Danio rerio: one gene and its partners. The protein of the gene in region 2 interacts with the protein of the main gene of each other region in a pairwise test. Links are inferred from orthologs where the notes say so. Each region holds a gene or a part of one and is shown on either strand. Other genes may lie near its edges. The genes, in order: rbfox1, fam168a, dtx2 and sf1.

Region 1 (7,379 bases), on a different chromosome or scaffold from region 2:
CAAACAGATGCTGTATAGCCGTAAGTGCTGCAATCGCACTGTTATATCAATCCAAGTGTAGTCTTGCACAAGCGGCCCTTCAACTTTCAAACGGTGATGTCTTCCTCTAAACTGTGCGGCATGACTGCAAGAGCCGTGTGATTTTCTCCTCTGACTTGTCATCTGATTGTCATTCTCCAAACACTCTCAAATCATCACCATATGTAGTTGCTTCAGTCTGTGGTGTCGTATAGATGATTGTATGATATTTGTGTTTGTACATACAGTACAAGGAGCGTTTTTCACCGTACCACCATAACCTGACCATCTCTTTATTTCTCCACAGTTACGGACGAGTTTATGCTGCCGACCCCTACAACCACGCACTTGCTCCAGCAGCCACATACAGCGTTGGTGCCATGGTGAGCACACATTTATTTCTCTACCTCCTTTCTTTCTTTTTTTTCCCCTCGCTCTTTCCTCATTACTCCTTTATTTATCCCTTCCCCGCTCTTTTCTCGGTGCACGCTTGTCATGTACGCTCATTCTTTTCCCTTTTCTTCCCACCTTTTCCTCCTGCATGGATTTTAGCACTGCTGACATCTCCTCACTTAAACTTAATTGAATTTGTCTCTTGTGCTAACGGCAGCTGAAATGCCACATTAATCCTCCCAGTAAACGTGATAAATGTCTTAATTTCTTGGCAGTGTAGTGCATGTTAGTTATTATATTTCTAATTTTGTGAATATCACCTAGCCGAGCGCTCCCCTTAATGGAATAATTAGTCATTTTGATAATTAAATCCATCACCTAAGTGGTGCTGTAGCAACAGCTAAAAGAGGGAGCGAGTTTGAGGAAAGACGGCGTGATGAAAGTCTCCGGTTGCCCATTGCGACTTGCCACTTGTGTGTGTTTGATCACAGAAATGTCCACTTTGTGTACAAAATGCATTTTGTAAAGATCAATTTGACTATTTTGTCTAGTTTTTCTGTAAAAAAGCTTGTTTTTTATTATAATTGTAATTATTTTAGATTATATTTGATTAGTTTGTTAGTTTATTCTTCAAAAGTGTGGTCAAACATGTATAGTTTATATAAATCTAATAAGTCTCATATTCATTCATTCATTTTCCTTCAGCTTAGTCCCTTTATTTATCATGGGTCATTACAGGGAATGAACCGCCAACTTATCCAGCATATGTTTTACAAAGCGGATGCCCTTTCAGCCCCTTACAGTACTGGTAAACACCCATATGGTCACTTATTTAGAAGATCAGTCATTTGAAGAAGTATTGAAAGAAAACAAGAACAAACCAGCTCAGAATATGGATGTTTTTGTGTATGAATATGAATGCGGGATGGCACGGAGGCTCAGTGGTTAGCACTGTCACCTCACAGAAAGACAGGTTGTAGTCGTGGCTGGACCATTTGACATTTCTGTGTGGAGTTTGCATGTTCTCCTCATGTTCGCGTGGATTTCCTCTAGGTGCTTCAGTTTCCCCCAAAGTCCAAAAACATGCGCTATACGTAAGTGAATTGGGTAAACAAAACTGGACATAGTGTGTGTGAATGCGAGAGTTTATGGGTGTTTTACAGTACTGTGATGTGGCTGGAAGGGCAAAAAACGTATCCTGGAATAGCTGGTGGTTCATTTCCCTTGGGGCAACTCCTGATAAATAAGTGACAATGCCAGGGGTCTCAAACTGCCGGCCCGCGGGTCCTTTGCAGCCCCCTTCCTCCTCCCTCCGCCCCGCAACTGACAGAAATATAAAGAGTTTCGGCCTAACAAAACTTATATTTTTGAATCACTATCTGTGCAGTTGCATATACACTTGTGGTTTTGACCAACCACCTACTGGACATTTAAGGTACTGTACTATATATTTGGGTTACATTCGGTTTCTGTCGGTGTGCGGTTGAGAGTAAATCACATGCAGATTATTTCTGGGGCTGATTTAAATGTTGTAATATATGTCTGTAAGTGCTCTATTTTTACTAAAGCTATATTTTTGTAAATATTCAAGGGCCATTTGATTATAATCCATTTTATAGCACCTGTATTTTGTTGTACAAACACTTCTTCATGGCTTACACGCTATGCTGGTGGTGTGAATATGATAATTTTGCTAATAATCGATTCAAATGGTCTCATTTAATAGATTGTCTTGATTCGCATATTAAGATTTGAATTAAAAAAAAGTGCATTAATAAATTTTACTGCTGGCGAAATTGAACATGTTAAAGTAAATGTGAATAAATACATACTTTTCCCATCTTTGTTGTGGTTTTACAAAAAATAATGATATTGAGAAGAGCAGTTGCTAGTACAGTCAATAAAGTTACCCAAACTGCATTTAGCTGTTTCACACTACATGTTAAACTTTTGCTCAAGCAAAAATTGATTTTGACATAATAATAATTATTATTATGCCTATTATTAAATTGTATGTTTTCCATATCAATTTAAACTACCCCTTCAATATGTACAACAAGAAACAAAAAGAAGGAGCTTTGACACTCTGTGGAAGAATTTCTGAGTGCATCAGTTACATCAGGTTTCCACTTTTTTTCTGTGCTAGAATGTTAAAACGGCCCTCCTGTGAATTGTCAGTCACTGACATGGCCCCCCGCCCCCGCCGATTTGAGTTTGAGACCCCTGGACTAAGCCAAAGAAAAATGAATGCATGAATGTGTATGCTAAATGATTTCGCAACTTTATTGCACCCATATTTTAACATATTTTACAAGTTATTAGAAACATTAAAGTAGACCCTTTACTTGAGTTTAATTAGCTTTTTCTGTGTTTGTAAAATCACTTCTGTAAATTTAATTTAATATGAAATTGACTCCTATACTCAGTTAGCAAATGAAAATAAATAAATAACATACTCAAGCTCTTGAAGGCTGCGCTTAAACTGCAGATCTTTATGGTCAATTCCGATTTTGTGGCTGTATCCATTTTTTTTGATGAGCCGCTTACATCATCATTTAAAAGTTACTCGAATCTGATTGTCTGCATTTACACTGCACGCAATGACAAGATGCAATGACCAGAAAAAAAAGAAGGGACACTGACTGACGGCTGATAATAAAAGAGCACCCTTTTCTCCATTCATGTGTTTAATCTGTAATCTGTTAGTTGTTTTACTATAGTTCTCATTGTTATCCATCTTCTTTTAATCTAGGCCTTTTTAAACCACTAGGCATCTTAATGTAATGTCCATGGCGTGATTTATGCATGTGATGCAATAGTTTTAAGGTGCGTTCAATTTCTTGCATCTCTGCGCAGACCGATCAAAATCTGTCTTAAAGTGGTGCATGAGATCAGACAATTAATTCAGTCGGTGCAACGTTAGAAGAGCAACTGCAGGAGCTGTGATGACGACACTGATATTACACTATTGGCTGAGTTCAGCGCATAACAACAACCATGTGTGTATCGGGTTTATTATTAGACAACTTCTTTTCACTTTTTATGCCATCTCTATCTTGTATATGTATCATGCTTATTAAATGACAACTAATATTTGACTAGAGTAATAATCTTTTGTTAAATAATTAGTTTATAAAGGCTGGATTGTTTGCATAGGTTTATTTTCTGTCTTTTTTATACAGACTATAGCTCCATGACTCCAGACTTTATAGAGCATTCAGCTCCATGAAGAATTTAAATTATAAATTGCAGTGAATAACCTAAATATTAACTTAAATAAGTTTTACATACTTTTAATAAAATAATTATTATAATTAATCTCAAAACCCTAAGGCTTTCTTAACAAATTAAGGTAAAGAACTATTTTATTTAATAATTATAAGAATATTTATCCTATATGGTTATAAAATATTTTATTTGCTGTCAAGCCGTTTACGCACAAATTTTAAAGGTGACATTGAGGTACCTTGCTTTTTCTGTTTAAAGAGTTGCTCACTTATTTTGAGCTCACTTATTTTATTTTTTTAAATGCTTTCATTATCCAAAATTATTTTAATCATTGTTTAAGACGTAATCAAAACACCTTGTTTTGAGTTTTACACAAATATATAATGGAAAGTTTTATATCTACATTTACATTTAGTCATTTAGCAGACGCTTTTATCCAAAGCGACTTACAAATGAGGACAAGGAAGCAAAGGTAAATAAATGTAAACCCATTTTTAGCATATTCAAACAAAAAGTATTAGCCTAAAGAGTGATGTTTAAAGTTCTAGAATTTGTGCTTATTGTTTTGTATTTAATAGGCCTATTCATTTTTATGTTTATATTTCTCTCTCCTTTCCCCTTATTTCTCTCATGCATTTGTTATATAATTAATTCATAGTTCCCTTATTGTTTAAAAATTAACTAGTCGGTAGAGACTGTATTCTGTTTTATGTATACTGTAAATCTTTTGTTGTTATACAATACAATATGTATTTATAAAGCACATTTAAAAACAACCAAGGTTGACCAAAGTGCTGTACATAGGAGTACTAAAGACAGAGAAGAAAACAGAATATAAAAGAAACATTTAGCAATTAAAAGCAATAATCAATGATCTGTGCTATTTAACAATATAAATGCTTATTTTTTGTTCTAGTATATGAAAAGTAAGGTTTGGGACTCTACTGAAGTCTGTTCCGAGCATCACAGCTGACATCATTCGATATGGTTTTTAATGACGCACGATTTGCGACTCGAATTGATAGGTGAAAATCCGATCTACTTGTTTACACTACAGACACGAGGGCACGGATCTGATCAGATAAATTTCCACATATGAACAAGGCCTGAATCTGATTTGAGTAAATCAGACTCCATTCGATTTTTTTCCAGCTTACACATACATGGGCCATATCCGATCTGTGCCACACGGGAGAAAAATTCGGAATTGGGTCACTTGAATCATGCAGTGTAAATGCAGCCGAAAGGTACAGTTTCAACAGCAAAATTTATCAAGATTTCACTAATGTGACCACAACGTCATTTTTTCTCATATTTATCTTTTGTTATTTAAATGTTATATAATTATCTTGTTTTAAGGATATTTACTGGAAAATCTGACCATTATTCGGATCTCCCTGCATCCATGACTTTTTCTTTTTTTATTATTATTATTTGCTCTGTTAACTCATGTACATTTCTTTCAGCCCTTTTGCGTTTTTTTTTTTTAAGTAGCTAAATGCATCTGTTCTGGCATGAGCTGTGTCGGTGTGCTTGCTGCATGATGGAACGTGATTGGTTTTCGTCCGCGGGGTACAGTATGTACAGCAAACAGTCTGAATGCTAGCATAGGTCTCATCTGAGCTGTGTCAATTAAACATGTCCAAACCCGTGGCTTCTCTTGCAGAATGCTTTCGCACCCTTGACTGATGCCAAGACCAGAAGCCACGCCGATGATGTGGGTCTCGTTCTTTCTTCTTTGCAGGCTAGTATATACCGAGGTGGATACAGTCGTTTCGCGCCATATTAAAAGCAAACAAAAAATGCATTACAAAAAATCATAATAAAAACAGACAAAAAAAAATAAACATTTCAAAACCTATTGAGAATCTTCCTGTGGGGGTAAAGGAGGAGTAATTCAGAGGCCTGGGTATTGCAATACATGCAGTAGTGCATCATTTTAGCATCTCTCAAGAGAGAGAAGACAAAAACGGATATTTTTCATCTTATACCTCAGATATTTTGTGCTGTGTATTTTAATATTGTGGGTTTTTAATTTCTAAAGATTACATAGATTGTTGGCTGTAGAGGTTTCTGTGGTGATCTAGAGAGCTGCTAGATTTTAAAAAGACGAAGAAGAAAAAAAAAAGAATAATAAGATACAAATTGTTAGGGCTTTATCATGTAAATGAGTTCTGTATGATAAATATACGAGTCACTTTGGGGTTATCATATTTTGTAAGAGTGTAAGTGACTAGAGTCGTCCAGTGGTTTCTGCTTTCGTTGACATTGCCTTTACGTCTTTGTTTTGTTCTTTTGGTTTCAGTTGTTTTTGGGTTCTGTGGCGTAGAGGACGAGCACGCAGGGGATGGTGGGTACGAGTAGATACGGGCGTCTGCGTGGTAAAAGGTCAGTGTAGTTGCAGGAGCACAGCAGAGACACAGAGCCGGTCAAAGAGACCACGGAGGTATCGATTATTTAAGCTGTCTTATATCAGTCATTACTCAAAGCCAAAGGTTATGTTCCTGGGGTGTTCCGTGTGTAGATTCCAACTATACATAGCAGCTCGTAGAAACTCCCCGAAAAGTTCACCACAACAGTATTTTACTGTTTAACTATTATCTAGTCCCTAAGTCCAACCCCTCGCTAGTTTAGGCCTACCACGAGATGTTCTTTTTATATATTACGGTACTTCCAGTACGTCGATTGATATAAATGCTGACTTTTATAATACGGGAGAGACAAAACACGACGAAAAAAAAAAAAACGAAAAAAGAAAAAAAGACGCCGACCATAGCGCCGGTTCTATTTTAATTTAGTTTCTTTTACCTTTTGTTTTGTTTAGTTTTTTTTTTTTTCTCAAGAGTTTATTTGTACAAGCTGAGAGTGGGAAAAAATAAACTAACAGTGTATTAAATTTGATCTGTGCAGTGAAAATGTTCTCTTATACGACAAACACAACTGTATAATGTTTTAGATTTAGTGTGGTAGACCAACTGTTAGAGAAAGGTGTCTCATTTTTTATGGAATCATACACAGATTTATATCAACACTTTACAAGTAATGCAATCATTATGTAGATATAATCATAGTATTTTTGTCAACTGTACAATTTTGCACACACGACCTGCAATTTTTTCATCACAACTTCTTCTCCTCCTTCTCCTCCTCCTCCTCACTTGTCTGTTTTCTTTCGTTTTCTCTGCTTCCTTCGGGTGTTTCGTTTTGATATCATTTTTAATGTGACATCCTTTGTACTATTATTTTCTAGAACACAGCCTTTACACTTTGAAACTGTTTGATTATCAAGAAACTGAGAACTATATGACTTGTGAAAAAGATATCTATATGTAAATAGGAATAATGATAACTATGTCATTTACAAGTGCTACACAAGCAAGCTGTCGAGGTGTTCTTGAAGAGTCGCAGCTTGGCTGTGCATATGCGAAGACTTCCCTTCATGTTGTTTACAAGTATACCTAATTAGAGGTGTTTGTCACATATCTCATTTTTCTTTATTTTGTATTTATAAAACGTTTCGATTGCATAAAAATACAAACAAAAGAGCAGCTCCAATTTATCCGGCTGCAAAATATCCTCTTGTGTACTGTGTGCGTCACATCACACAACTTGGCAAAAATATCTTACCCACTGCTGTGATTCTGCTCTTTCTGCTTTAAGTACGTGTTGTGGACAGGCTTTCTCCTTGTCATTGTATGTGCATGCACTATGATCTGCATAACAATAACCATCAATAAAGT
Region 2 (7,855 bases):
TTAGTATTATATTTGCTTGAACTGACCCGATCTAATCCTGTTTATATGAAATGAACCTGCTCCCAAGTAGGTTTGAGCTACCAGAACTCAGATGAGTCTCAGATGAGTTTTGAAGAACTAAACCATCCTGGATCGTGTCAAATCGTCATTATCCAAATCCAGCTAATTGAGAAATCCACGTACGAAGAACAGACCCCTGTTTGTACCTGATGATTATTTATACCAGGGGTGGCCAACCCTGTTCCTGGAGAGCCACCTTCCTGCAGATTTCAGTTGCTACCCATATCAAACACACCTGAACCAATTAATTAGGATCTGAACATTACGAGAGAATTACTGGCAGGTGTGTTTGATATGGGTTGCAAATAAATTCAGCAGGATGATGGCTCTCCAGGAACAGGGTTGGGCACCCCTGATTTATACAGATAATAATTCAATATTATTTAAGTCTTTTTCTGAAAATGTGTCATCAATCTGCACTTCGGTAACTTTTTCATACACAGAACTGTACAGGTTTATGTATTATCTATATTCTAAAGGCTTTTAGCCGAGGTATTTGTTCACACATAACACACATTCCTTAATGAAACTATTTATTTTGGCTGTTCACTGTGTATTTTGGCTGCTCAGTGTTTTCTGAATTATGATTATCAATATCAATGCAGCTCTATCTGTCAAATACTTGCAAAAACATGACTTGTGGCAGAAATACTTCCAAATGAGTGCATATTTTTAAACAATGTCTCATGTGCATATTTATACATGCATAACATTTTAGAAAACTTGTAATACAACAAATGCAAGCGGTCAACTCTGGAAGTATGGTTATTTATATAGTTTTTTCGTCTTACTCTATTCTCCTACAGTGTCTTGCATTAAAAGACTTGGCTTTGTGCAGCTCAAGTCAAACTTTGTGTGCTTTTGTTTCTACTTTTTGTATCTTCCAGTGAGTCTCAGACTAATAGACCATTTTGAGGGATGTAAACAAAAACCATGGTCCTAATGTATATCCTGTTTTACACTTGTAATTTCTATAGCTTCCAAAACTCCAAAGAGTCACATATTGATAATGTTATGAGAGCAGTTTTAACATGAAGTTGTAATTGTATTGTCTCTTTTTACAGTTATGAAATAGTTTGATAACAAGCAGGACATGTACATGGGCCAATGACATGATCACATCGAAAATGGTCTATAAATACCTAATAGATGGTGTGTGTGTGTGTGTGTGTGTGTGTGTGTGTGTGTGTGTGTGTGTGTGTGTGTGTGTGTGTGTGTGTGTGTGTGTGTGTGTGTGTGAGAGAGAGAGAGAGAGAGATACTTCACATACTTCACATTTTTGCATGCATTACCGTTGCGCACCAGAAGATGGCGTCATTACCTTTGTTTATTCCAGCCAGGTCATATGGTTATTTTTTGCTCATCCTATGTGTTATACTCGATGGAGATGTCTCAGATGTTTGCGCAGCCTGATGATCCGTCTCTCTGTCTGTGTTTCAGGATATACTGCAGGAACGCCTTATAAAGTGCCCCCTACTCAGAGCAATGGAGCCCCTCCACCGTACTCCCCGTCCCCAAACCCCTACCCCACGGCCATGTACCCCATCAGAAGTGCCTATCCACAGCAGAACCTCTATGCTCAGGTCAGAACTGCACTAACACACTTGCGCCCAGTTTCACAGACATGAATAAGAGCAAGGGTGTCAAACTCAATTCCTGGAGGGCCGAAGCCCTGCACAGTTTAGTTCCAACCCTGCTCCAACACACTTACCTGTACGTTTCAAACAAGCCTGAAGGACTCAGTTAGTTTGATCAGGTGTGTTTATTTAGGGTTGGAACTAAACTGTGCAGAGCTGCGGCCCTTTTGGAACTGGGTTTGACACCTGTGGCTTAGACTCAGATTACATTAAAACTAGTTGCTGTCAAAAGAATAGTCATGATTAATCGCATCCATTCATTCATTTTCCTTCGGTTTAGTCCCTTTATTAATTAGGGGCCGCCACAGCGGAATGAACCACCAACTTATCCAGCATACAGTATGTTTTACGCAGCGGATGCCCTTCTAGCCAAAACCCAGTACTGAGAAATATCCATACATTCACACATGCACTCACACACTTATAGCGCACGTGTTTGGACTTTTGGGGAAACCGGAGCACTCAAAGGAAACCCACACCAACATGGGGAGAACATGCAAACTCCATACAGTATTGCCAACTGGCCCAGCCGAGACTCAAACCAGTGACCTTCTTGCAGAGAGGCGACAGTGCTAACCACTGAGCCACGCCCCTAATCACATCCATTAAAATATTAAATATATTTTGTGCGTACTGTGTAAAATTTTGTGTATATAAATATATGCATCACTAAGTTGTATAAAATGTTTGTTTATTCATATATATATATATATATATATATATATATATATATATATATATATATATATATATATATATATATATATATATATATATATATATATATATATATATATATACACGTCTTAGTGCTGGGCTAAGATTAATAGCATTAAAAATAAAAGTTTGTTTTGATCATCCAACCAGGATTAGGTTATAGTTTAATTAGGGACTATAAGTAAAGTATCATTTACTTATGTGCCTTAGAAAAATCATTACTGGTGTCCATTGTAAGACTAAAATCAGACTTACATTTTTGTTTCGTCTGTGAAATTATTATAAGAGACAATTCCATCAAATCTAATAAGAATAAAAGGTCTCAAAGAAGAATATAGGAATCTAACACTGCACTAATAAGAATATAAGGTCATTTTGTTGTAGTATGGATTTCTTTAGCTATTTTAACCCATAGCTAACAGTCATTTTTTACAATTTTCAGCACAGTATATTCAGAATCTATATGCACTTTTTATTATTTTATATAGATAGATAGATAGATAGATAGATAGATAGATAGATAGATAGATAGATAGATAGATAGATAGATAGATAGATAGATAGATAGATAGATGTGTGTGTGTGTGTGTGTGTGTGTGTGTGTGTGTGTGTGTGTGTGTGTGTGTGTGTGTGTGTGTGTGTGTGTGTGTGTGTGTGTGTGTTTGTGTGTGTGTATGTATATATATATATATATATATATATATATATATATATATATATATATATATATATATATATATATATATGTATGTATGTATGTATATATAATCGCCACAATCGAGAGAATGTGGAAAACGGTATTGAATGTTACTTCATTTTCACCTTGGTATTTGTCTATTTATTGCCTTTTTATGATAAAAAGAGAATTATTTGAAACTTAATTATATATTATATATATAAATTTTATATTTTAAATCTGTTTTGTTCAAATGCACCAAAATAAATTGCCTATATTCTCTGAGAAATGAATACAAATATTCAATTTCAAAATAGGGTGTACTCAATTATGCTGAGCACTGTATATGCACATTTAAAATTTTAGTTTCTTGAGATATTATTTAAATATATACCATTGTAGGACATTATAATTAATTATTAACCTCACTAGAATTCATAATTACTCAGTTCAGATTTATAAAGCCTACCTATTGTACATATTTATGTTTATTTCTTACAAAACAGTATGATTATGTGGCAATATATGTTTATTAAAACACCTTTAACCCTGAGATCATTTTACAAAAGTATTTTTAATACATACTTATGTTCAAAATGACACATTTATATAATTTAAAAATCTCTCTTTGGGTATTTTGAGGGTTTTAAAGCATCTGATGAACATGTTTTTCTTTACTTAAACTATGTATTTCTGTAGAACCTTTTTATGTATCTTTAACAGATCAAAACAGCCCAGAATGCATCAGAGGCTTAAAATATTGCTAACAGTTGTGTTTATGCATTTGGCAGACACATTTACACTTGGTTAGCATTCCTCAAAAAATATTTATATAATGATATCAAATAATGACTGAGTTACCAGCAGAATCGGCTGATTTATTTGCTCAGAATATTCTGTTTTGCTCAAATGCTTCATGTCAAATAATAGACTGGAAATGTTGTTTGAGTATCAAAATGTATTATGATGCTACTATAGTGCAATTTTAATTTTACTTTACACCTTTGTAGCACTTATAATTATTTTAAGTTAGCTTTTATATGTACAGTTTAGCATTTATTTTAATAATAGTTTTAGTAATTAAAAAATATTCATTTGTTGTTAGATTTAATTTCTATGGCTTTTATTTATTTATTTTTATTTACTTAAATTGTTTTACTTATTAGCAATTAGGAACTGAAGTAAAATCAAGTCAAATTAATTAAATTAAATAAATAAAATTGCACAAGCTTGAGTACTAAAACATGCTTAAATAAATTGGTTAAATAGTAAAAGCTGTATGTAAAAATACAATAAAATGTAAATATTAGATAGATTCAACCGGCAAATAATAAAATAAAATAAAAAAATAACATTAAGCAAAGTTTTTCATTCAATTATTTTAAATGTATTTTAATTATATAGTGTAACATTTAGCGTAATGGTAGTAACACAGATTCAGTACCATAGCAAACACTGCAGTAATATGTACTGTGTTGGAACATACAGCACTGCACTTGTCATATATCTGTTGATTGTCAGCTGTGTGTGTGTGCTGTAATGTTTGTGTGTGCGTTTTTCTCCTTAGGGTGCTTATTTCACACAGCCGGTGTATGCAGCTCAGCCTCACGTCATCCACCACACCACCGTGGTGCAGCCCAACAGCATCCCCTCCGCTATCTACCCTGCTCCGGTGCCCGCGCCACGTTCCAATGGGGTGGCCATGGGCATGGTGGCCGGAACAACCATGGCCATGTCTGCCGGTAAACCACAAATAAATCATTACATAAATCCACACTTTCTGTCTGATCTTCCTATTTCATGTGTATTAAAATCACAACAGCTGGAAAAATATAAAGTAAATATATATAATTATTTTATACAAATAAATATATATATACAGTTGATGTCAGAATTATTAGCCCCCCTGAATTGTTAGCCCACCTGTTTATTTTTCCCCAATTTCTGTTTAATGGAGAGAAAATGTTTTCAACACATTTCTAAACATAATAGTTTTAATAACTCATCTCTAATAACTGATTTATTTTATCTTTGCCATGATGACAGTAAATAATATTTTACTAGATATTTTCAAGACACTTCTATACAGCTTAAAGTGGCATTTAAACACTTAACTAGGTTAATTATGGTAACTAGGCAGGTTAGGGTAATTAGGCAAGTTATTGTATGGCGATGGTTTGTTCTGTAGACTATTGAAAAAAAATAGCTTAAAAGGGGCGAATAATTCTGTCCTTAAAATGGTGTTTAATAAATTCAAACTGCTTTTATTCTAGCCGAAATAAAACAAATAAAACAAATAAGACTTTCTCCTGAAGACAAAAATATTATCAGACATACTGTAAAAGTTGTCTTGCACTAGTCAATATAATTTGAGAAATATAAAAAAAATAAAAAAATAAATGGGGGGTTAATAATGCTGACTTCAACTATATATATATAATGTATATATATATATATATATATATATATATATATATATATATATATATATATATAGGATGTTTAGAGTGTAAATATTTAAAAATATGAAAAAAGAAATATATTAATTTTTTATTTTTATTTTAGTTCATTAGAGAATCATTGGAATATTAAGTAAAGATCATGTTCCGTGAAGATGTTTTGTGAATTCCCTACTTTAAATATATCACAATGTAATATTTGATAAGTACGCATTGGTAAGAACATAATTTGTTCAACTTTAATGTTTTTTTTGATAATATTTAGTTTTTTTTTTTACATTTATGACTTGTTTTGTGTTTCAAGGCCACACACACACACATACATTACACATGCAGTTGAAGTAAGAATTATTAGTCCCCCTTTTAATGTTTTTCTCTTTTTAATTATTTCCCAAATTATGAGAAAGGGAATTTTCACAGTTTGTCTGATAATATTTTTTTTCTTTTGGAGAAACTCTTATTTGTTTTATTTTGAATAGAATAAAAGTAATTTTAATTTTTTTAAACCCATTTTAAGGACAAAATTATTAGCCCCTTCCGGCTAATTTTTTTTTTCAATAATCTACAGAACACATCATCGTTATACAATAACTTGCCTAATTACCCTAGTCTGTCTAGTTAACCTAATTAACCTAATCGAGCCTTTAAATGTCACTTTAAGCTGTATAGAAGTGTCTTGAAAGTTATCTAGTCAAATATTATTTACTGTCATCATGGCAAAGATAAAATAAATCAGTTATTAGAGATGAGTTATTAAAACTATTACGTTTAGAAATGTGTTGAAAACATCTTCTCTCTGTTCAACACAAATTGGGAAAAAAATAACATAATTCTGACTTCAACTGTGTATATATATATATATATATATATATATATATATATATATATATATATATATATATATATATATATATATATATATATATATATATATATGAGAAATAAAAAATTTCCTTGCTCTGTTAAACATAATTTGGGAATTATTTAAAAAAGAAAAAAATGCAAAGGGGGGCTAATAATTCTGACTTCAACTGTGTGTGTGTATATATATATATATATATTCCGCTGTGTGTAGTCCCCAGATTAATAAAGGGACTAAGCCGACAAGAAAATAAATGAATATATATATATATATATATATATATATATATATATATATATATATATATATATATATATATATATATATATACATACATACATACATACATACATACATATTTCTTTAAATAATTTTTTACCTAACATAAAATGACCATAATAAATGTTTTGAGTTTAACAATTAGTTTTATCTTTGATAGTGTTAAATCTCTCAATCGACATATCCATAGCTTGAATAGATGCTTGGATTGCTGCCAAAATTGGAGATAAGGCTGTGGTCTCGTCGTTGACAGTAGCACTAGCCGCTTATTCATTCAGAGTGTGCTTACATTGGCCGGTTGATCACATTGCTTCATTTTAGGTTTCATCATCTTGACTTCAAGCTTAAAAAGGCGTTGTTTTGTTTAGATCATAAATAAATTAAGCTCGTTTTTTTCAAGATTATTGAAGGAGCTCTTCAAACTAGGTACTAAAGGAGTGCTCAACTCTGTTGCTGGAGATCTACCCTCCTGCAGATTTCAGTTGCAACCCATATCAAACACACCTACCTGTGATTAGCAAGCGCTGTTCAGGTCCTAATTCATTGATTCTTGTGTGTTTGATCAGGGTTGGAGCTGAAATTTGTTGGAAGGTAGTTTTCCAGGAGCAGGGTTGACCACCCCTAGTCTACTCCATTCGGTGCTCGAGCGCTCAATAATTGCATATATCACAATTATAGTGTCTTTTGCAGACTTTCAGTTCTTGAAAAAGTTAGCATTTTTAATTAATGTCTATATTTTAAAACACTAATTCATCCATTTTTATTTAGATATATTTGTTAATAATATAAATTACAGTATTTAAAAAATTAACATGATATTTATGAAACAATTATGACTACTTTAATAACTAGATTCAATACAAATACAGCTAGTGCCATTAACAAGCTTAGTCCAAGAAAAAACACACCCATTAGTTCTGCTGTAATTCAGTACTGCTGTAAATGAGTGATGAACACTTTATTTCCTTGTCTCCATCAGGCACTTTGCTGACCACCCCTCAGCACACTCAGATTGGAGCACATCCCGTCACCGTGCCAACATACCGACCCCAAGGAACACCTGGCTACAGCTATGTGCCACCTCACTGGTAGAGCCACCTGCCAATCATGTGAGTCCCCGCCCACAAATCTCAATCTTAATTTAAGGAGGCTGTGTGCACAGCTA
Region 3 (8,607 bases), on a different chromosome or scaffold from region 2:
TAAAAGCATTCTGTTTTTTCTAAGTTATATAATTTTTTCTAGCTCTAAAACTTTATAATCTTTAAATATACTTTATTAATTTTTTTTAAAGTTACTCTAAACTGGCTTGAAATGCGTAAACAGTCACAGGGCTTGAAATGATCCATAAGATTTTTGGTAATTTAATGGATACATTTTGCAATTACTCCACAATAAAATATGTTTTTAAGTCCTGCTCAACATTGCACATCCAGTGATGTTGATATTGATGCTGAAATGATTTATTGTGCATTTGTATAACACACATAAATATTATATTTAAATAAAAAAACATTCTCATATATATCCATGCATGTGTGTATTTATACATAGATAATGAAGAGACAGTGCACACACATATCGCCAAAACCAACTTTTGTTTTGGATGCGATTTATCACAATTAATTTTTGCCCAGCACTACATTTCATTACACATAAAAAAAATGTTAATTTCTCAGTTAATGCCTAATAATGCATTATAATCAAAGTCATAATCTGATCATTGGTTGTAGTATGAATGGAGTTAATAACTAATACAATTCTGTTTTAATATTAACATCGTAACTTCTCTAATCTGGCTTTTTTCTCACCGGCGATTTTTATCCTTTAACTAATATTTACAAATAAAATTGTATTGTGTTTGGTTGAAACATTTGTTTACACTAAACATGTATAGACAAGAAATAGACTAAGTATTTTTTGGTTATTATACCAATATTTTACATAAAAGTATCCTTTCTTCCAGTTTAGGTCAATATTGTAACAATACCATACTAGGGCTGCATAATATTATTTCAGCATCGATATCGCAATGTCGGCATTCACAATACTCTCGTCGCAGCATCTGTAATGTGGAGGTGGGATTATTATAGTTGATCAGCGATGAAGAATGCACAGTGTTATTTTACATTCTGTTTGATTGTTCAATATCAGGGCTAGGACAAAATATCGATGCTGGTCCAATTGATGTAGCCAAGTATCGATATTTATTTAAAGGTATTTAAAGGTGGCGCTTCTCATAGTGTCGGATTGAACACATATCAATGTTGCAATTCCACAAATATATTTGCTGTTATTAAAATACATCTTATACATTTTTTAATAATTTTCCCCCCTTCATTTATAAATATCGCGATATATCGTTGATGGTTTTCTTGTGATATATCACTGTTATTGTTATCTATCATTATCGGGGGCAAAATATAATGATAATATCGTATCGTATTGCAATACTGTTGCAGGATATCTGACTACTTATTTCACTTTTATCTTTGCTCAATATTATTTATTTAAGGCCCGTGCACACAGAGACGCTTTTTGATCGCGTTTTCCGTCAACGTTTCACGCCTTGTGACTAAATAAAGGGCGTCAATGTGATCGTATACACCAAGGCGCAAAATGCCAGGTTTAAAATCGTCATTTTTTAAAACAAAACGCCTCATGCTCAATTTTTTTGTTTTGACGTGCCATGTCACAACCTTCTCCACCAATCATTTTGGAACTTTTTGTTCACGTGCAGAGAGCTGCCGAAGTTACAGTAAACAGCACTTTGAGGCACTCAAGAGCAAAACTGTCAATGCAAGCGCACATTGAAGAAGATGCCCAGAGGCAATATGAACGTAGAGCTGCTTATTGCACTGGTGAACAAAAATCATTTCTTCATCGCTGGAGCTGGAGTTGCTACTTGAACTATCCATAACAACAAGCATGTCAACTTTGTCTTCTTCTTCTGTGTTTCAAGCGCGTGTCAGAAGCTTAAAGTTGTGTAGTGCCATCTAGGGTCAAGGAGTGATTTTGCATACTCTTCTGCTCGACTCCAATGAAAAATCGCTTGGGTTTGAATCCAGAAAAACGCTGACTATAAACGCAAACGAAAAGCGTCCTCGTGTGTACAAGCGTTAACACTTGCAATTTCTTTGATTCACTCCTCTACATGATCATTCCAATCAAGGTTAATGATTTCATTCCAAATAGAGCTATTAAAGTCATCTACCGAAACTGTATTAATATCGCAATATAGATTGCAGAACAAAAATATTGCGATGTCAGGTTTTTCCAGTATTGTGTAGCCCTATTCTATACAGTAAAAAACATCTGTTAATGAACAGTTTCTGTATTCTGTGTTTCACAAGTGTTTTTCATTTATCACCGTTCTGAATTGGACTTCGGGATGTTGATCTCTGCTCTGTCGATTTGACGTTGACAATTCAACTCTACAGGTAAACAAAGTGACTTTCATTATAATATAACATCTAAGAAATAATATATAGCGAAATAAGTCTGTGAAATACCAGAAAATGTACTGGTAGTTAGTAAACAAGGTTTTTGTACCAAAATATACAACAACAACCCAGAAAATGTATCACTTTACACTTTTATAAATGAAAAAAATAATTTAAAAATTTGACCTTTTCAAGGTAAAAGATTGGTGGAAGAAAAATCAAAGTCCCATAATGCAATTTAAAAGCACAAATAATCATAAAATATGGAAAACTGCTAATTTACGGATATTTTACCAGTGAATCCCATTCAGCAATTAATCGCAACAAGAAAATGTGATAACAAGATCATCACAGTAATTAGCAAAAGATCTTCATCATTCCAAAAGATATTTACACATTTTTCAACTTATAACAAAGTGCATCTTTTCTAAAAACAAATGTGAGAAAGAGCTGTTATTTCACAAATGGAGTACGCTGTGCATCCTGTCGGAATCTGTTAGCTTGTTTCCTGAGATTTGTCACCTCTTTCCTGTTCTTTTCCATAGAGACCACAGGTGTCAGAAGTCATTTAAACACCCACCAAAACAAGTCTAATCTCCAGCTAACAGACAAAATGCTATCTTTTTTAAAACTTTGCATCCATCTATATGAGTATATATAAAGCCTATGTGTCATACTGCAGCACACTACACTGCTTTTCCCAGCAGCTTTGATGACCTGTTATCAAGGATAAAGCATAAATACCATACATTTAGAGCAAGTGAATTAATCAGTTTCAGCCAAGATTCACACAGGGCTTCTTTCACTCTGTGGATTTTACAGACTCTTCCTTGACAACACATTTACTTAATCCAAATGAGCAAAAAGCACATTTCCCTAACACTCTCTTAAAGTGCTGTGGCAGTACTAGACAGTAATAACTTCACATATCGTAGTATAACAGTCCAAGACAAGTAAAAATGTATATATTAATATAATTTAATGTTACATTCAAAAAATATTTTGTTTTGCTCGTTTAACTACTTATTTAAAATGAGCTGAAACAACATAATTCTTGAGAGTTCATTCGGACAACTTAATTTTTTTTATGTTCGATCCACATTAATTTGTTAAAAGTGTTAAATTAATTAATCGATTTGTGTTGGAACAACATGACTGAATTATGTGGAACCCGGCATTTTTTACAGTGTATGAAAGAGGTCTCTCTCTACTGCAAAGTTTAAATTATTTTTCTTTGTTTACATTATTAAAAAGTCATTTTTTTATGCAACACCTTGCAAAGCAATTCTGTTTAATAGATGCATAATAGATGTCTAATAGATCCATCTTGGCTAAATAGGCTGTCAGTGAACATCTAATAGACGTCTAAGAACAGCCCAAAACTAGACTAGTGCTCAAATACACCGATTAGACAGACTCCACACGTGTGCAGTCATTCATTCCTGTGGTTTTGATAACTAGTTTAGGGCCATTCTTAGAGGTCTATTAGATTTTCACTGACAAACCACGTTTGGCAATGTTTTATCTAGCCTTAGATGTCTATTAGACATCTATTAGATCTCATTTTAAACAAAAAGAAAATGCTTGCCATACGTAAAACATGGATATTCACTTTCACACAATTGTTTTGTAATTCATCACCTGAAGTGATGCTTTCATTTGCCTAAAATATTATAAAATATGTTGATTAAAGGGATCGTTCACCCAAAAATGAAAACTAAAATTATAAAACACTATTTGATTAATCTATATATTCGATTAGTCATCAAATATGCAGATTAAACAGATCATTAGTCATTCATTTCTGTTTATTTGATGACTAGTCGAATGTTGGCCGATTCTTAAATGTCTATTAGATTTTCACTGACAGGCCAAATTTAGCCTTGTTTTAGCTATCCACATTTCCTGCTGGGTTTCGTGTAATTTCAGGTGTTTCATTTTTAAGTTGTCGACTTTTACTGCAGTTTGGTACTTTCACTTTCATTCTGGAACATTTCATGCATGCGCCCCATGACAAATAAGAAATTGCATGCGAGTATGAACTGCTAGAAGAGTGTTGTTTTAATGTAATATGATGAGGGAAAATAAACCTCCGCATTTTGTGATGCAGGTGTCTGTGGTCCTTCATTGACTCGAGAGATGCAAAGAATAGTGTTTGTACAGCCATATAGACTATCCTGTCGCAAATTTCACTGAAAGTCCTACATGTTTATATATCTGTACTACATTTCAATAATGCGACTAAATGTCTTAATTTGATTTCTGTTTAGTAAGATTAAGACCTTAATCAAATTAAATTAATCATAAATCTCTGTTTACATGGTAGACAATGCTTTATCAGAGCATTATTGGTGTCCATATTAACACACTGAAGAATTTATTATATTCATTTAGCCTCACATTTACTGTTCCAAGATATTTTAAACGTTTCTTAAAGTAAAATATATTCTGTTTGATGGGAATAGTTTGTTAGACATTTAAAATAAAACTGTTTTATAGCATTAACATTAATCACAATACGGCGATATTTGTGTGCAAGGTTTTCATACCATCCGAATCTTATACAGGCCCATGTACAGCTACAAGTTTCATAGTACTTTTTTGCTGTTATTCATCAGTTTGATGTGTTGAGTACAGACTCACCAGTGTCCTGTCTGAACTGTTTGAGGTTGGGGATGTCGATGATGTAGGAGGACAGGCTGGGGTCTGCCTGAGCCAGACAGATGCTGCTCCCGGCGACCGCTGCCCCTCTCTGGTGCTGGAGGCACTGCTCGATGTAGCTGCTCACCTGTCCGGTGTAGGGCCTCCAGAAGCCCAGATCATCCTGCCATTCCCAAACCACCGCCATCGGCTGAGCTTGTCCGGGCACCCCAGACGAGGTGACAGACGAAGTCGACGGCGAAGCGAAAGACGGTCCGTTTCTAGTTCCACTCCCTCCGGAAGGGAAACTGGAGCCTGTTGCCATTGTGTCTGCTAAGAAATGACCCCAACCGATCCTAAAATAAGCCGGAGTTAAGCAGTGGGGCTGCCTGGCCCAGCTAACAACAACACCACCACCCTTTCAGTTTCACTCGTTTTCCACCCAGCTAACCCGCAGTATCCTATAAGAGATCGCTCGATGTCGTTAAAACTGTGTTTAATTCAGGAGTGAACATTTATTTATCCGCAGATTTGAAGGTAATCCCACTGATGTCGCATCTTCTTTGCTCGGCTGCTGGAGTCGCAGCTTCAGACTAGCCGCGTCTCGCTCTTCTCTTCGCCATTCAGTGCGATGCTGCTCGGCTACCGGGCTCATTAATCGGATTCATGTAAAATAACAGTTTCTGTTAGGTCGGCAGGCGGCTAATGCTGCATGGTCGTGATTTAAAACTCGCCGCTCGGCATGGTTTTTAAAAGTACGCAGTGGTTTGTGACACACTTCCTCTGCTGCGGTGTGTGTTTGTGTCGCTGCTGGTGGATTCCCATAGATACACACTGTGAAGGCAGACACAAACAGCACCCGTCTTGTTGTCGGTATGTTTACATTTTAAATTGTTCAAATATAAAAGCAATGTCGATTTTTTTAAATGACTACTGTCTATTCTTTGTTTATGCTTTGCTATGGTTAACTTCAAAATTTGAATGCTTATCTTTATATTGCGTACGTTGTCAACGGCAGATGGCTTTTATTTTAAAAGCGTAATACACTGACTAATAACAAAATAAAAGTCACGCTGCGTTTTTCTTTGTAGATGACGTTCATAAGTGATTTATTGTGTTACAACCACTGATCTATAATAGAGAAATAATGTTTCTATAAATACATTTTAAATATGGTATTTGTGGTTAAACACAAGAATCCCACTTAAATATCTGTAATACACGAGTTCTCAATTGTACCAAAATATTAGTCAGAATTAATTAATGTGTAATTAAATGTAATTAATGTGTAATAAAACTTTTGTCATGTAAGATCTGAATCCTGAAACTTTAATAGAATTTGTAATTGTGTCAATGGTAATTGTATTGGTTGTAATGGAAACTGCAAATGTTTCCTGTGAGTCTCTTGTTGCCTGTATGCTTTGTTTTTGTGGTATGTTAAAACTAATAAATCTTATTGTAATACGTTTTTTTGCATTACACTGGAAACCATAACAATTTTCATTACAATAGCCTGTGGTTTACAACGTGTTAATTGTAACCTACCACTGTAAATGAAAACTGTAAAGATGAAAATGTGTGATCCTGTCTTCAATCCAGTAGGTGGTGCTAATGCTATCCTGATGTGTCAGGAAAATAATCTCCATTCATCTAAACTCAATCTGAAGTTGTTTCTAAATAACTTTAAAATAATTCTCAGTATACGCGTAAAGCTTCAGTGCATAATTACACACACACGCACACGTTTATGAGGACATTACATGGTCGTAATGTATTATATACTGTAAAAAAAACGATTATTATACACCCTACCCCTAAACCCAACTTCAAATGAAACATGACAAACTTTGTAATGTCAAAAGACCCTGTTAAGTATGACTTTAACCGTTTTGATTTACAAGGACACGTGTAATGTCCTCATTAACCACCACAACATTGTAATGCCTAGGTCATACAAAATTTTGTCCTCATAAACCACCAAAAACCAGCGCACACACACACACACACACACACACTCACTTTAATAAAAATATACTTTTAGTTTAGTATAGCTCTTAGATGACTGTGGTGTACCTTTTTCATACGAAAACTTTATGCATCAGTTCTATTTTCCTGTTCCCCCTAAATAATATGCCATAGTTTTTGGTACAATCCCTGATTGTATTATACCTTTGGTCAAATCTGGCCCTAAAGGTTCTTTAGATTCTTTTATTTTTGACAACACAAATCTTTTTGTTGACAAAACTCTTCTCAGTTCTATGTCTAGCAAAGATATTCGCTTCGTTATTACTAGTTCTCGGATCTCTTTACCTGCTTGCATAGGTTTTTGGAATAATATATTTGATGATGTGGATTGGGAACAGTTTCTTCAGTTTAAAAACAGATTAAAATTTTTTTTTATCTAATAAAGCTGTTGAAGTCTAAATCAAAGTAATTCATAAGTGCTACTAAATAAACATCAAACTTGCTAAATTTAATAATAATATTTCCCCTAAAGGCTTATTTTGTAGTCAATATGATAAACGCTAAACCATTTATTTTGGGAGTGTACTTACCGTAAAGTGTTTTGGGTTGACTTTTCCGATTTCATTAAAAAATTCTTATTTCCAAACTTCTGTATTTCCCCAAAAATTGTATTCTTTGGTTACTCTCTGAGTGTAGATCCTTCTCATTGTAAATTTATTAATAATTTATTGCTTTTTTAAGCAAAATTTTACATCCATAAATGTAAATTTTCAAAGAAACACCCTTACTTTTAATTTTCAGAAAGGACTTTGTATGTGAACTCTTTAAAATACTCTAACAATTACACTGCATGTAAAACGCTTTCTTGGTGTAAATCATTTAAACTTGTTTAATTTGCTGGAATTCTATTTATGCAACCCTCTTTGTCTCTTTGTTCATATTATATCTTTGTAATGTTCTTTCTTGCATAATAATAAAAACACACACACACACACGCACGCACGCACACACACAAACACACACACACACACACCAGTTAAACGCAAGGCAACACATTTTATTTGAAAGGCCTAAATGGCATTAAGGTACAGCATATAAATACTGGCGATTCCAGAGACAGTCATAACAGAATCACATTATAGTATTCTTTTCCTTTACAAACAATACATTCATGATGTTTTCTCCTTAAAATACCTCACTTTGCCTCAATTGAACGAACTTAAGAGTAACTTACAATGCTAAAATAATAATAAAAAAAAAAAGTCTTTCGATTGAATATAAGTTAGTGCTATCGTGTTAGGGGTTTTACAACTTGCTTAAAACCTGAAGCAGAAGTTCCTCTCCGAAAAACGTTACACAAGTAGCTCGTTGTTTTTAGCATCGTTAGCCGTGTCATTCAGTAAGCTACTTTATGTAATTAACTGAATGCCAGAGTTTACATTCCCTGCATATACACATATTAAAAATTTCAATAAATAAATAAATAACAATACAAACATTCGCAAGGCATGATAACTAGTCGTATACAGTATGAACGTACTGTACGAGCTCTCTCGGCACCAAACAAAGGCTGTGTATCCCAACAGTGATTAGACATATGTTGGATTAAAAACAAATCCCAAATGCTATTCTTACTGCTGTTTAATGAGATGGTTATTTAACCATGATTGTGTCCAGGATCTGACATTACAAATCCTGGTGGCAAAGCAATATTTCATCTGATACGCAAATAATGGCTACACCTTTTACAAACAACCTCTTA
Region 4 (8,621 bases), on a different chromosome or scaffold from region 2:
TATTTTTTTTTATTCTTGGTACAAAAACCTGTAAATATTTTCTTCATTAATTAAAAAAAAAAAAGTTTAAAAAAATCTTGTCTTTTTTTTCTCTCTAGATCAGGGGTGGCCAACCCTGTTCCTGGAGAGCCGCCTTCCTGCAGATTTCAGTTGCAACCCTTATTAAACACACCTGCCTGTAATTATCACGTGGTGTTCAGGTCCTAATTAATTGGTTCAGGTGTGTTTGATATGGGTAGCAAATGAAATCTGCAGGAATGCGGCTCTCCAGGAACAGGGTTGGCCACCCCTGCTCTAGATTAACACAATTGGGTTTTTGCAGTTGCTCTGGACACATAAATTGGGTCAAAGACACATGGTGGAAAACGGAAAAATTTAATTTTGCAGTTTCCCTTTATTTAGTAAATCTTGGAGAGCTCCTATCAGAGAATCTCACTCAGGCTGATAAACAATATTATATTGAATCATGGTAATTTATGTCAATAACAATGATAAGCTCTGGACTTATTTACTCCGTATGATCTAAGAGCTAATCAAACAGCAGAAATGTGCAACAATGGGAATCGAAAAGTATGATGATATTAGAGATGTGAGGATTTAAGAGATTTTCAGTCACCAAAAAACTTTGGGCCGACAATACATTATGCCATTTAAGGGACCCTCCAATTTTTGTACCTTCAGTCATTGTTGGGGTACTCTTTTAAACCTGGAAGCTTTAACTTGTATAAAACTATAAATCATTATGGTTCAGTATGGAGAATAATTATCGAAATTGTGTTTTATTTTAATTAGCCTTTCTTTTCTTGTTTCTTCATTGATATTCTTGATTTCCCTTAGAAATTCTGCCATGATGGGATAATAGATAGACTTCAGCATGCCAAGACTGATTTAAAGAGAAAAATGAACATTTGTCATCATTAACTCGGTCTTTACTTGTTTAACTTAAACTAATTTCAGTTTCTTCCTTTTTTTTTTTACACAAAGCATAATATTTTAAAGAACCATTGACTTCCATACTATTTGTTTATCCTACTTTAAGAAAATCATTAAAAGAATTAAAACCACACAAGGTTGTGTAAATGTTGAGTTATGTATATAATTTTTGGGTGAACTATCACTTTAAATTTGTAAAAGCACAGATAATTTTTTTAAAAACAATTACTAAAATCAAATTCATTACACCCACCTGCCCATACCATAAAGAAAAATACTTGAACAGGTAAAGGTTTTGCACCCACACACACCTAATATTAATAATGATAATACGAAAACACATCTATATTAACAATAATGATCATTTTGAAACGAAAACTAGTAAGTGCTACAGTGTTTGTGCTGATGTGTGCTATAATTCTAGATAGGCTACCTGACGACTCATTGAATCCATTAAAAATATGATAACCATAAATTCTATCATTTAATAAACTTTATAGTTTGAGTTAATAGTTAATTTAAAAATTAAGTTATTACATTGTTCTGATATTGCTAAATTGGGTGATTTGTGCAAATGCATAATGTCGGAGACTCATGTGTCTGTAGAGGACATCAAAAGTAATGAGATATAGCTTTTTGAAAACTGCTAAACAGCATTTTAAAACTGCACTTTTTTGTTTTGTTATTAATTCTCATTCATTCATTTTCTTGTCGGCTTAGTCCCTTTATTAATGTGGGGTCGCCACAGCGGAATGAACCGCCAACTTATCCAGCTAGTTTTTTACGCAGCGGATGCCCTTCCAGCTGCAACCCATCTCTGGGAAACATCCACACACATATTCACACACACACTCTTACACTATGGACAATTTAGCCTACCCAATTCACCTGTACCGCATGTCTTTGGACTGTGGGGGAAACCGGCGCACCTGGAGGAAACCCACGCAAAGGCAGGGAGAACATGCAAACTCCACACTGAAACGCCAACTGAGCCGAGGTTCGAACCAGCGACCCAGAGACCTTCTTGCTGTGAGGCGACAGCACTACCTACTGTGCCACTCCTTTGCCCGTTATTAATTCTAAGGGTTCGAATTATACAAATGTAGAATAATTAGCAAGGTCAGGATATAATGTAACTCAGTAGTGTAAATGGGAAAAAAATAAACTATAATACAAATAAAATCTAAGTTTTAAATGTAATTTTATCACTCATATAGACATACTGTATCTACCAAAACCTGACCTGCACAGTAAGAGTAGATAAGATACAGCTGTGTATATGTATATCATCATTTTTTGTGACACTGTATACCAATAATTAACATGTTTACAGTACTGTGACGGTTGGATTTAGGGTTAGGGTAGGGTTCATTTATTTTCATGAGCTAAAGGGTTCATTTAATCCCTTTATTTATCGGGGGTCGCCACAGTGGACAGAACCACCAACTTATTCAGCAAATTAGCAATTCCAGCGTTATGGATGTGACATTTGCAGTAAAATCTCAGAAACAATGCTCATCAAAAGGATAAGAGTTGGCTCATTATAAAACAAAAATGATTGATTTAATTTAATTTGACATTTTTCCATTTACTAGGCAAAATCTTCGTTATTGATGTGACAGATGTGGAATTGCCACTCATGTGATTTTGGTAAGTCAAATATAATAGTTTGAAAACATTAATGGAGACATTTTTGAGTATTTTAAAGCACAAAAACCCAGAAACAGTTTTGCTATTTTGTCGAAATCTTTTTTATTTATGGCAAGGTTGACATTTGCATGGAATTGCTCCTATGTTTTACACAGCGGATGCCCTTCCAGCTGCAACCCAATACTGGGAAACATCCATACACTCATTTATACTCATTTTCTCCACACAGAAAGGCCAACTGCCAAAGCTGGGGCTTGAACCAGTGACATTCTTGCTGTGAGGCGACAGTGCTAACCACTGTGAAAAAAACACTGTCGCCCTAATAAAATATGGGAAATGTAATTTTCGTTGTCTGCCAGCCATAACCGTATCTGATCTAGCTACAACCTGACCACACCGCACAGAAAGAGCCAACCTATCCTGGAACATATGGCCGGCTTGGCGACCAATGAGAGGTAAGTAAATTGCTCCGACGGAAACACGACAGACCTTAAATGATCCAATGAATGTTCCCCAAACACAGATTGACACGACTATCGACCAATCGGATATTTCTAAATTGACGTCAAAGCTCCTTTGTCGATCTCAGCGGACGCCATCTTATCCAGCGGGTGACAGAAGAAGGTTGCGTGGTCGGAGACACGCGTTCGTATCAATTGATTTATCAACAAAAGAAACGGATACATTCTGTGCAGATATCGAACCACGAAGAAGCCCCTGACGCCCAGAAATGGCAACGGGAGCTAACGCAACCCCGCTTGGTAAGCTGCACCCGAGCATCGGCGCTAAGCGAGGCTTTGACTCTGGCCCCGGTCCGGGGTTAATGCCTCCGCCTGGGCCTTCGGTGCCTTTCCCGCTGCAGAACTTCCAACCGCCACAATTATCAAATCCTGGGTTCCCGCAGTTTCCCGGAGCCGTGAGCTCTGCGCTCTCAAACCCTATCGTAGTAGGACAGCAGTCTCAAGCGGGAGGCGGAGGTAAACACCGTGGACAGGCCTTGACTCCTTCAGGATCAACGGCCTCCATTTATAAAAGTAGAATGGCTGGTTACCGTCATTAATAGTCTTACTTGTTTTTACAATGCCATTGCATATTAAAAATCTTTGGAATGTGTAATTATTTAACATGTTCATTTGGGGGATCAAAACTTAATCTAACGTTACACGTTAAAGTATTGTGTTGTATTTAACACTGAACTCTGAAATGAAATATGATGCAGAAAAATCTATTGTTTTGAAATCGAGCAGTGTTAACATTAGACAATAAAGTGCACACTGTTTTTTTTAATATAGATTTTTTTTTTTCAGTTTAGTGCATAATATGGTATAAAAAGGGTTGGGAGCTTTTACACAGCAAATGTACATGCCCAGACTGAACAAAGATGTTTATTACATTGCAGTGTTTATATGGCTAACGATGTTAAGTTAATATAACGTGGCATTTAGCAGCAAACTGCTTGCTTAAACTGCTAAAAACCTTAGAATGCTGTCTTAAATATTTCTTAAATTATTAGTATGTTTCGTAATATCACTTTTATGGCAAAGAATAAGTCCTTTTCCAGGTCTTTAAAGTAAAATATTTCAACATAAACAAGAGAGGCAAAGGTGAAAAATTGATGGAAATTTCAGACGGCACTTAAGAGGTTTTTGCATCTGAACTCTTCATATTTATAATTTCTTTTTAATCAAAGAAAAAATCCTATGTTTACTTTTTAAAAGTGTAATAATTCAATAAATTAAACATTTTGCATCATAAAGACATGGTGAACGTTTCTGTGAAGTTTTGGTCTTAATTTACAGGCTTTAGACATCCACAAATCAGACATAATGGCTTAATTTGTTTACATCCCCTGTCAGATTTTGGACAGAAGAAACGGAAAAGAAGTCGCTGGAGCAGCGAGACCCCTGATCAGAAGACTGTTATCCCGGGCATGCCCACCGTGATCCCTCCTGGGCTGACTCGGGACCAAGAACGAGCTTATATAGGTGAATATCTAAAATTTGCTATTACAACATCTGTCAGAGTCATAGAGTTTAGGTTGCAAATAATTTTGTATGTGAACGGGGGAATATTCTGTCTACACCCAAACAAGTCACTTTTTTTTTTTTTGTCCCAAAACTTGTTTATAATTTTTTTTCTCACAGTTTGCACATCACATGAAGGATGTAACTGCTTAATTTCATTAGTCTGACTTCTTTGCTGATACAACTGATGTCAAATTAGTGAAAGAACCTTTATGTTAAAGCAACAGTTCAAAACGGTCATCTCTATATGTCTCAAATGACTTTATAGAAATGGTCTTCTCAAAGAAGTCAATCCATCGAAATTCAGCACTTTGCCCCATATTTACTAGAATGCACTAACTCCATCAATGTGCAATGTGAGTGCCATTTATTTATTTTTGTTCGTTTAGGACACACTGAGGTATTGGTAGCACTGTCAATGTTTGCATATACCATCTGATGTCCATTAGCAAGAACCCACTGTGTTTTCTGATGTTGCTGCTTGCTGTGAACTGTCTCCAGCTGCAGAACTCCATCACTGCTCATGTTTACTATGCAAAAAATGTCTCGTCCAATTCGACTGCGAAAGCAATGCAGGTCCGATACTGAATTGCTAAAGTCATCTCCATCCCCTTGTGTCTGAAAGCAGTGTGTAGTAAATTGCTTTCTCATTGCTGTCAGGCACTTGTTTTGCAGTAGCATGTGGTGTAGTGTTTGTTTCGACTATAATGTGACCTAGACCTACATCTCTTTAACTACTCCTCCTTTTGACAACTGACACCTCATGTCTCTTACCCACCATCAACCTGCACCATTCAATGTGGGGTCCGATTCTCTTAAGCATGTCATAGAGAAATGCATGTGAAAGCCCATGAAATGCTTCCATGAGTGATGCAGTAATTTGGTTGGTTACAGGTCAGTCTTTGGGTTTGTACAGGCTGATTTGGTTGGCGTGGCTTGAGGCCTTAGTAAAATAAATTGCATGATAAAACGACCTGCTAAAGGCTGATCTGTTTGTCTTAGAACTTATTTATAAATATTGGATTTTACTTAATTGAGTAGTGTTTGTAACTACTGGTAAGTTGCTGACGTGTCAATAACTTGAGTGTTGAATGTAATTGTTTATGTATTGGCTTTTCACACCCAGTGTTAATGACTATTTTTTTAACATAGTAATTTAATTTCATTACGCTGGTGTTATTCTATAACTTTTTATATGAGGATGCATTTGCTCAAGCCATTTAGCCAATATGTTTTTTGATTTCTTCAAACACAACTTTTTTTCCCCCCTCGACAGGCCTTCATGTTTTTGCCACCTTTTTAGCTCATGTGAACTAATGTTTTTAAGGATATGCATAATGTGAATTTTACTTCTCAGAGTTGGTGGCATAAAATGGAAAGCCTGTTGCTATGATCTTTTTCTGAAATTGTTATTTGCTGAAATCCCTTCAGGTTTCTGAAATTAAAATTGGCTGAACATTTGAAACTTGAATTTCTGATTATTTGGGGAATGGGCTCATGAGAATACACTCAAGCTTAAACCGAAGTATGCTTTGCAGAATTCCTGTCGGGCTTTCAGTGTTTCAGAAAAAATACTACAGAGGATCAAATGTCTTTACTTGACCTTGATTCTTAGTGAACTGTCAATTTACCATGGTAATTTTTTGTTTGTTGCTTAACCCTAGTCACATTGAGTTTTACAGTGTACTGATTCTGGTTTTGTGGGGTCTTTTTGTTGTTAACCACATTTTTCTCCATCCTTGTTTTTTTTTCTTTCCTAACCTGATTTCTTCCAGTCCAACTGCAGATTGAAGACCTGACACGTAAACTGCGTACAGGAGACCTGGGAATCCCTGTTAACCCTGAGGACAGGTCGGAATAACGATTTAAACCCACCAACAGTAACATTTTCTTTACCTTTTCAATGCGCCAATTTAAGTGAGCCCAGTTCGTAAGTGTACTAGTGTCTATGTAGGGGTAAGTAATTAAGTGACAGAAATAAGTTTAAATGCCTTGCTTTTAACTGACATCATATCTTTGCCTCTTAATTGAAGAGTTTTGAAAGTTCTTTTATTGTAATTAAATAGATTGTATTACAAACCTAAACTTTTCAGTGTTTTAAACACTTTTTGTATTTTTAAAGGGTCACGAAATGCCAAAACACATTTTTTGAGATCTTGATAGTTATATAGGTGTCTCGCGTTGCTAAAAACGCTATTAGGACACATTAATTTAGCTAAAAAATGAAAATTGGTTGTTTTTGCATTGTTTAGAGCAAATTCATTCTCCTGGGTTGAAAGGAGAAATTTTGTAGCAACATCACAGCGATGAGATCATTATGTAAATTCCAGCGTGGAGATTGGCTGTCTGTACCAGTTGGTACAAAGTGACACAATTGAGTTTTTATTCAGCGTGCTCTAATATAAACAAGATGCAACTTCATTAATATGCATGATATAGCTTCGAAGCCCCCTTTTACCTGTTACAATGTTTAGAGAGATACCATGTTGTGTTGCCAATCATAATTCAAACAAGTAGAAGAATTGTTATGAGACGTGAGTTGTAAGTGTTGCATTTATAAATGTGCCGCAACAGGTTTTGTTTCCATTTCCCTGTGATGAGAGCACAGCTCGCATGTGGACCCACATGTGTGGATTACAGTGGTTTGCTAACATGCGACAAAAATGTTTGTAAGGGACTTTTTTTTTTTTTTTTTTTTTTTTTAAACGAGAGCTTTTCGAAAATGATGAATTGACGAATCTAGATTTGCCACTCATCTTTTAAAAAAAAAAAGAAAAAAAGACCTGGTTCCAGTTTTGATGTTTACAGGTTTAGTAAGTGTGCAGTCAATGTTCTTTGTTTGTTTATTCAGATGGCAAAGTTAGTTAGTATCATCAGCAGTACTCTTATTTTTTTGAAGACATACCTTAGTCAAAATGTTTTAGTTACGAAGTTACTACAATATTAAGGACTAAAAGATCTGCTGTAAAATGCTGCTCCGAATGCAAACACCTTAATCAAACTATTACTGTTGTGTAGTATTTTTTTCATGGCCCTTTAAAAAACATCTGATCTGTTTTGTATGTGGAGGCAAAGATTAGAATAAAGGCTATTATTGTAGGACATTGTCATACAAAAAAATCTGACTTTCATTGGCTAGCCAGTGTTACATGCTTTTGAAATTAAGTTGTCTTGCAGAACATATCTTAACAGAGTGATGATTAACTCGACCCATCAAAACGTGTAGGCATAAAACCAACAATTCTTTTGATTGTCCAAAGTAAATCTTGTTTACTTTTATTCTGAACTGTTTTTGTAGATATTTAATTGCATGCTTTTTCATGTGCTATGATACTTGTGTATTATTAGAAATGCTGCAGTAGTTTAATTGATTCTCCCAGTGTAGTTGCTGTAGTTGAAGATAGTAGGTTCGGTCATTATTTAAGTTTTTGAAAGTATTAATTTTTTATTAGATTATATATTACATTACTGCCCTTTTTTTCTAACCTCCGAAATCCAGTCTTAAACACATTAAAGTCCTTAAATTAAAAAATCTGAATGGTTGGTTAATTGGATGGTCAATAATGGTTTTCCATAATGGGGCTACCACCATTTTGTCCAGGAACTTCCACAGTATTCCAGATTTCCGCACTGGAAGACCGCTCGGAGGAGTCTCCTCTGAACTTTTCTTTCTGGAATAACCTTAACCTTAACACTTTGATCACTTTGGCCACTCATAGACTTCATAAGCATCCAACATAGCAGGAATGTCATGTTTCTGACGTAAGAGTGTCTTTTTAGTAGCCACATCCCTTGCTCTCTGAACAGCCTTAGGTTCTCCGGCAGAATCTTAATCCGACGTTTTTACACCGCCAACTCTTCTTAAAGGTCTATCCACTCCAGGATTTAGGAACGATTGCTCATCAACTTCCAGCTCGCCAAAAACAAAGCTGGAGGTGCTTCAAGTTGTCAGCGCTGGAGATATCAGCCCAAAAGAAAACCAGCAGAGCATTCTTTTCTCTCTCCCCCCAACCC

What was found.
Region 1: the proteins of fam168a (region 2) and rbfox1 interact in binary tests that used the Homo sapiens proteins (3 or more experiments, as listed by UniProt). The link is inferred for Danio rerio from reciprocal best matches to the Homo sapiens genes FAM168A and RBFOX1.
Region 3: the proteins of fam168a (region 2) and dtx2 interact in binary tests that used the Homo sapiens proteins (3 or more experiments, as listed by UniProt). The two-hybrid records come from large-scale screens. The link is inferred for Danio rerio from reciprocal best matches to the Homo sapiens genes FAM168A and DTX2.
Region 4: the proteins of fam168a (region 2) and sf1 interact in binary tests that used the Homo sapiens proteins (3 or more experiments, as listed by UniProt). The two-hybrid records come from large-scale screens. The link is inferred for Danio rerio from reciprocal best matches to the Homo sapiens genes FAM168A and SF1.

What each region holds. Positions count from the first base shown.
Region 1 is NC_133178.1:26,727,123-26,734,501, reverse strand, and holds the end of rbfox1 (RNA binding protein fox-1 homolog 1), read left to right. Parts: intron 1-325; coding exon 326-401; intron 402-4,791; coding exon of another isoform or gene 4,792-4,886; intron 4,887-5,305; coding exon 5,306-5,428; 3' UTR 5,429-5,430; downstream 5,431-7,379. UniProt on the Homo sapiens protein: RNA-binding protein that regulates alternative splicing events by binding to 5'-UGCAUGU-3' elements. Regulates alternative splicing of tissue-specific exons and of differentially spliced exons during erythropoiesis.
Region 2 is NC_133193.1:4,901,950-4,909,804, reverse strand, and holds part of fam168a (protein FAM168A), read left to right. Parts: intron 1-1,500; coding exon 1,501-1,643; intron 1,644-4,657; coding exon 4,658-4,832; intron 4,833-7,669; coding exon 7,670-7,782; 3' UTR 7,783-7,799; intron 7,800-7,855.
Region 3 is NC_133180.1:65,407,034-65,415,640, reverse strand, and holds the start of dtx2 (probable E3 ubiquitin-protein ligase DTX2), read right to left. Parts: upstream 5,719-8,607; 5' UTR 5,206-5,718; coding exon 4,884-5,205; intron 1-4,883. UniProt on the Homo sapiens protein: Regulator of Notch signaling, a signaling pathway involved in cell-cell communications that regulates a broad spectrum of cell-fate determinations.
Region 4 is NC_133182.1:22,786,655-22,795,275, forward strand, and holds the start of sf1 (splicing factor 1), read left to right. Parts: upstream 1-3,177; 5' UTR 3,178-3,313; coding exon 3,314-3,560; intron 3,561-4,439; coding exon 4,440-4,568; intron 4,569-6,382; coding exon 6,383-6,458; intron 6,459-8,621. UniProt on the Homo sapiens protein: Necessary for the ATP-dependent first step of spliceosome assembly. Binds to the intron branch point sequence (BPS) 5'-UACUAAC-3' of the pre-mRNA. May act as transcription repressor.